2 linked regions of the Saccharomyces cerevisiae S288C genome follow. The protein of the gene in region 1 interacts with the protein of each later gene in a biochemical or structural test. Each region holds a gene or a part of one and is shown in the gene's direction. Other genes may lie near its edges.

Region 1 (3,597 bases):
GACAAATGGAGTGTAAGTATAAACGTATTTGAAGTATATCTAAAGCTTGTGTTGGATAATGTTGAAACGCAGGAGACTATCGATTCATTAATTAGTGGTATGAAGATATTTTATGATCAGTATAAGCACTGTCGTGAAGTGGCCGCATGTTGTAATGTTATGTCCCAAGAGATTGTATCAAAAATATTGGAGAAAAACAATCCTTCAATAGGCGATTCGAAGGCCAAATTGCTTGAGCTCCCCCTAGGGCAGCCAGAAAAGGCATACTTGAGGGGTGAGTTTGCCCAGGATTTAATGAAGTGTACATATAAGATATAAGTTTTTTTATTTTTATTTCTAAAAAAAAGAAAAATAGTAAAACATGGACTGAAGCTAACGCTTTTGGAGTAATTAGTAGCATTATATATGGTAAAAGTGTTCTTCAGTAGGTCTAAGATTTAAAGGTAATGATATTTATATTATAAAACGATTTGACCTCTAATGCACTTCCTTTTATTCTTTTTGATAAAATATACTATACATCCCCCACAGCATCTCGCAGAGCCTCCACAACGTTAAGTACAGCACTCGAAGCTGGGCTGTCAGGATAGTTATCCAGGAAACTTTCACCCATGTCACAACTCTTGCCAATCCTCGGATCTAACGGAACAGACCCCAAAAATTTGATGCCCAATTCCTTACAAAGTGCTTCACCTCCACCTGTGGTAGCCTTGAATATTTGGGACTCTCCTTTGCAATTTGGACATACAAATCCGCTCATATTTTCCACTAGTCCAAGAATATTGATACCAGCCTTCTTACAGAAATCTATCTCTTTCCGTACATCTAATAAAGCTACTTCCTGAGGTGTGGTGACCACAAGGGCACCATCTATGCCAGATTCTCTCATATACTTGTTTATTGAAATGTGCTCATCAGATGTTCCGGGCGGTGTGTCGATTACCAAGTAATCGAGTTTATCCCAATCAACATCCTTTAAAAATTTTTTTATCAATAAATTCTTTTTTGAACCCCTCCATATAATGGCGGAATCGTCTTCTGGAAGCATATATTGAATAGACATGGTGGCTAAATTATCAGTCACATAGACAGGTGTCCAACCGGAGTTCGATTCATGGACGGTTTCTTTAATGCAGCCTAACATATGTGGCAAAGAAGGTCCACATATATCTAAATCCATGGCACCTACTTGTAAATCTTCGTCAGCTGAAAGTGCCCAACTTAGCATTGCGGCAAATGTCGACTTGCCTACGCCACCTTTGCCTGATAAAACCAATATTTTATGTTCTATTCCTGACAAGTTATCTGTGATCAATGGAATATCTGGATCAGGGCCTTTCGGAAGACTTTCACATATTTCTTTATTGGCGCAGCCACCACAAGCATCGGACTTACCTGCCATGTCTGATTCTGGACCAGGACAGTGTTCTGGTTCCGGCTGATTAAGTTCATACTCTGCTGGTAGCACTTCGTCGTTTACATGTGGTAGTATCTCAGTCATTCTTGGATATCACTTATGTATACTGTTGTTCTCAAAAACAGAAAGACTTCACGTTTAGCCTAGCCTACGAGTTGTTGGACAAACATGTTATTTATTATTATATACAAAATATTTCTACGCATTACTAATTACACCATTAATGAATCCGAAAAAGTACCCGGAAGCGTATTTTGAAAAGCCATATTAAAGAATAATAAGATGAACGGCAGTTTTCGACGTGTCAATGCATAGAACTGAGAGAATTGTGCATTGGATGACTTATTTATGTAGGGTGCTATGTCCCAGCTGACGGAGTTCATTAGCTGTATCCCTGTGGTTAATGAAGAACAAAATGAAGAAGATGAGCGTGGCCTCTGTAAGATTCAGATTGAAGATGGCGCTATGTTGGAAACATTAGATGAGAACAGTCTTTCAGGGCTTAGAATAGAGAAAATGTTGGTAAGTGAAGGTACAGGAATTTTTTCCAAAAGCAGTTTTGGAATCAATGATTTGCGAATCTTTACGGGAGAAAATATCGATGAAGAGTCTAAGAAATATGTGTGGTATGAACTACTCAAAATGTTAACTGGTCACAAAGTGTACATTGCATCGTTAGACGAAAAAGTCGTATTCACAAAATGGACGTGCAGAATGCAAGATGATGAGGTATGGAAAGTAGTTATGGAGTTGGAGTCATCGGCGATCATAAGAAAAATCGCTGAACTTACCTTGCATCCAGTCAAAAAGGGAGAGATTGATTTATTTGAAATGGCAGATAAACTCTATAAAGATATCTGTTGTGTTAACGATTCTTACCGGAATATAAAGGAGAGCGATTCTAGCAATAGAAATCGAGTTGAACAGCTGGCTCGGGAAAGGGAGCTATTGGATAAGCTTTTAGAAACACGTGATGAAAGAACCAGAGCAATGATGGTAACCTTGTTGAATGAGAAGAAGAAGAAAATAAGAGAGCTTCATGAGATTCTGCGACAAAATAATATCAAATTGTCTGACGATGATGTTTTAGATTCTGCGCTTATTAATACGGAAGTGCAAAAGCCAATTTCTGAGTTAAACTCTCCAGGAAAAAGAATGAAACGAAGAAAGACGGTAGTAGAGCCTCAAAATTTACAAAAGAAGTTGAAAGACACAAGTCGGAGGAGAGCTAATAGAAAAATATCTAATCAATCCGTGATCAAAATGGAAGACGACGATTTTGATGACTTTCAATTTTTCGGACTTTCTAAAAGGCCAATTATTACTGCTAAAGATAAACTCAGTGAAAAGTACGATGATATTACCTCTTTTGGAGATGACACACAATCAATAAGTTTTGAATCTGATAGTAGCAGTGATGTTCAAAAACATTTAGTGTCTTTAGAAGACAATGGTATTCAAATATCAGCAGGAAGATCGGATGAAGATTACGGAGACATTTCTGGTTCTGAATCTGAGACTGATGCAAGTGCAGGGGAAAAGAAGAGCTCCAACCATAGTGAACAATCCGGTAATGATAGGGAACCTTGCTTGCAGACAGAATCGGAAACGGATATAGAAACATAGCCTATTTATGAATGAATGTAATATATGGCAAAGAGTATTATAGTATCGCATCATTTGAGAGAATACTTTATTTAAATGGCAAAAAATAGTTCTATGTGAGTGATCGAAAACTCAACTACTCAGATTGAAAAGAAAATAAATAAAACTAGGTGTTGTATGAACGTGAAAGAAATCGAGAGGGTTTAGAAGTAGTTTAGGGTCATTTTTCAGTACATTGGTTGGCCTGGCTTGAGTTGCAACCAGTGCCAAGCATCAGCGTTGGCCTCTCTCTTGTACATTGGTTGGCCTGGTCTCAAATTTAACCAGTGCCAAGCGTCGGCAACAGCCTCTCTTTTCGCCAAAGTGGTGTTTTGCTCTTTTTCAGCCGCCTCAGCAATAGTGGTGTTGATAAACAATAGCCCACTGGCGGTAGCGTTACTGAATGGTAAAAAAGCTATGTCATGATCACCTCCGAAATCCAAGTATCCAATAATGGCCTCGGCTGGCACCTGAGCGATATCTTCATCGGAACTAGCAGTGACAGAAACGGCCGCTAAAATAAAAGTGAGAAAGGT
Region 2 (3,448 bases), on another chromosome or scaffold:
TTCCTGGAAAACTTTATCTTTGTTTGAACAAAATAAGTTTCAAACTGAGTTTCAAAATTTATGGAAAGTCTTGAAACCACTTCCTGAATGCACTAAATCGCAATTAAATGAAAATGATGTTGTAGCAGATTTGCCTAGTTTTCCTCAAATGGAAAGCTGTATTAAATCTTTTTTTGCTGGACCGCTGTTCGGCATATTGCATATCTTCAACCAAGACGATATTCTGTCCCTCTTGGACAGACTTTTTATTAGAGATACCACGGACAAGAACCTAGTCATCCTCCTCGATTTGCAAGGTAATGCAAAAGATAAGTATAATCTTGGCATTGTACTTCAAATTCTTTGCTTGGGCTATTATAACCAAGATATCCCTTCTTCCGTGAGTCATTTCCTTCACACTTTAAGTGCAGCGTCCTTGTCATCATCGAGCTCAAATTTCGTGGAAAAACTACAATTTTTCTTATTGTCCTATATTAGTGTAATGATAAATTGCACGGACGGTGTATGGGATGCGACTCAAGGCGTTGACTTAATCAACGAGCTATGCCAGGGGTGCATAAGTTTGGGTTTAAATGATATTGATAAATGGTATTTGAACGAAAGTGAGGAAACCAAACAAAACTTGAGGTGTATTTGGTTTTGGGCTTTATTCCTTGATGTATCCACCTCATATGATATAGGTAATCCTCCGTCTATTTCAGATGATCTTTTGGACTTAAGTATATTTACTGCGCAGAATTTCCAATCACCGAGTATTGACTTTAGGAGAGTTAAGCTAATGCACGATTTTTTAGATGTTTCCCGATTCACTACTCGTGAAATTCACAAGAGAGAGATGAACGAAAAATTGACCACTTTTTCATTGAGATTGATTGAATTTATACAATCTAACTTTTCACCTATCGAACATTATACAAATTCAGTTTACTACTCTGATATTGATCCCTTTGATATATTGATTTTATCAAGATCTCTAAGTATAGTTGCTAGTATATACAATATTGAGATGATCATCGCTCAACAAAGCAGAATCATAGATAAGAACAGAATGGTTCAGTTCTTGTTGATATCCATATCAGTCTGTGTTAATACAATGGTATTTCATTTTAAAGAGCCTATCAACGACCAGGAGAACGTGTTAACTGAAGGGCTAAAACTGTCTATTATTCTAATCAATCCACTTTTAATACGAATAGTATCGCAAGTGTACAGTTTAGCATTTAATAGGTTAATCTTCAGGGAGAAGGCATTCCTTTTCCTTATTGACCTTGACACTGGGAAAAAAATACAATTCATTAAATATGAAGAAGAAAACTTTGATGAACTTTTGACAGGATTCGATGTTAGGACTGATAAATTTCTGTCATTTTCAGGAACAATAATAAGATTTTACGAAATTATTGATAGCATATTTGCTGTTAATGAAAGAAATAAGCGATTGTTAAAAGCAGTTTCCAATTTTTATCAGTTAACTTCAACTTTGGCGTTTGAACGCGTAAGTAGGGTTTTATTCGATAAAGCGTCCCAAGCAAGAATAGAGACTGAAAAAATTTGGCTGAAAAAGGGCATTAATATGGAGCACTTCAGTGATCTCATGATTGAAGATTTTATTAATGATGTTTGGAAAACGTTCAAAGAGATTTCCAAAGACCTTTGGTCCATTGACAAAAAGAAATTTTATAAACAATATCATTTCGATTTATAAATGTATTTATGATTGATGTATTTTTTTACATGGATTTTTTCGTCCCAAAAAGGGATGATAGTGTTGGCAGCGGGCAAACACAAAATAGTGTCATATAAGTGGAAACCCTATGGAGAATAACCATAACAACGGCCAGATAGGAGGTTAATCTTACACATGTGTGATGGATTCTGAGTTGAAAGGGCAGCAGCTAAGTGATGCAGAATGGTGTGTTAAAAAAATTAATGGTGAGGGAAATTGTCTCCTATTATTTCTACCGATGTCATCTCCAACCACAATTGTAATGATTGTTTTAGTTTCCTTGGAGCGCTTAGTTCCCTACGTTTTCAAACTTTCACAAACTCAATTATCACAGCAATGCCAGAGCCAAGGTTTTACGGATAGTATATCATTAAATCTAATTAAACTAAAACTAATGGACATTCTACAAGCTCCTCAAGAAATTAACCAAATTGGATTGGTAGATTCAAATTTGGTTTTTAGTTTCGATGTATCTGCGGATATTACAGTTTCCATAAATAGCGTACCTTCACATGTTACTAAGGATATGTTCTATATGATTTTGCAAAGTTTATGCATGCTTTTATTAAAATTGGTAAACCTTTCCACCCAATACCACTATGTACAACGGGATATTTTGAATGAAAAGCAAAAATGCTTAGATTTTCTTTTAATTTCTCTTCGTGATTTAGACGGTGGGAGTAAAGTTATCAGTCAATGGGCTCCTGAAAATTCTAAGAATTATGAATCTCTGCAGCAATGCACAGACGATGACATAATCAAAAAATTACTACATAAAGGAAAATTCCAGCATCAAGAATTTCTGGCGGACTCATTAAAAACATTATTATCTTTAAGAAACAAATTTCAAGATGTGTCGCGGTTTGAAGAATCTGGAGAACTTAACAAAAAAGAGCGCGTCAGATTTCCTGCGGTGAATCATTTTTATAATGATGATTTTGAATTGCAAGCAGACCCTACAAATGAGGCTCGACCAAATAGCCGCGGTAAAATTAAACCAAAGACAGATTTCAAGCCAAAATCTAGAGAAAGTAGTACCAGTTCGCAACTTCGCCTGGAGAATTTTTCTGAATCTGAGGCTACACCAGAAAAAACAAAATCAAGTTCTTCTTTGGTCGAAGAATACCCACAGAAAAAAAGAAAATTTGGAAAGGTGAGAATAAAAAACTAAGGCAAGTCAATTAAACGTCAAAAATTAAGGTTGGACCTTTCAAATAGTTCTATTCCTTTGTTGACGCATTGATAATGTTAATTTATTGAATGGTAACGTTATGCCATTGATAGGGAGCATATAAGTTTATATGTATTAGGACAGTTCTAATTGTTTATTATTAATCTAACGGTAGTTTCAAGCAGTATCTTACATCACTGCAGCTTCTGAGTGTCTAAATGATAAACTGCATAAAAAATAGCCGCGCAAGCTCGCCATCACTGTAAATGAAATTTAGACGCAAAACATAACCGCGGATGTAAACTTACTTAATAAGAGCGATTGGCAAAAGAGCCACAAAAAAAAATTGGATCAATATCTGGTGCATGGGTCTAAAAAAATTAAGCAAAACCACAACACCACGCGTTATGACAGCAGTTTTAGAGACTGTTTCTTTCTCTTCTATTGTATGAAGTAATCAGATTATTATATTGAGTAAGTACATGAATGTAATATTTAAATTGTATTTAACGATAGATGCACCAAAAAAAAAGAAAGTTACAGTAAGAGAC

What was found. The genes of interacting proteins can lie anywhere in the genome.
Region 2: the proteins of LIF1 (region 1) and NEJ1 form a complex in vitro, tested with the Saccharomyces cerevisiae proteins (2 studies listed by BioGRID).

Annotation. Positions count from the first base shown.
Region 1 is NC_001139.9:341,542-345,138, forward strand, and holds LIF1 (Lif1p), read left to right. Parts: upstream 1-1,777; coding exon 1,778-3,043; downstream 3,044-3,597. Other genes in the region: nucleocytoplasmic transporter NUP145, read left to right, coding at 1-318; NBP35 (Fe-S cluster-binding ATPase), read right to left, coding at 515-1,501; MF(ALPHA)2 (Mf(Alpha)2p), read right to left, coding at 3,250-3,597. UniProt on the Saccharomyces cerevisiae protein: Involved in non-homologous repair of DNA double-strand breaks. Stabilizes DNL4.
Region 2 is NC_001144.5:673,876-677,323, reverse strand, and holds NEJ1 (Nej1p), read left to right. Parts: upstream 1-1,868; coding exon 1,869-2,897; downstream 2,898-3,448. Other genes in the region: PDR8 (Pdr8p), read left to right, coding at 1-1,705; YLR264C-A (uncharacterized protein), read left to right, coding at 3,380-3,448. UniProt on the Saccharomyces cerevisiae protein: Involved in non-homologous end joining (NHEJ). Facilitates the transport of LIF1 into the nucleus, where it can interact with DNA ligase DNL4 to repair double-strand breaks (DSB). Mediates mating-type regulation of NHEJ.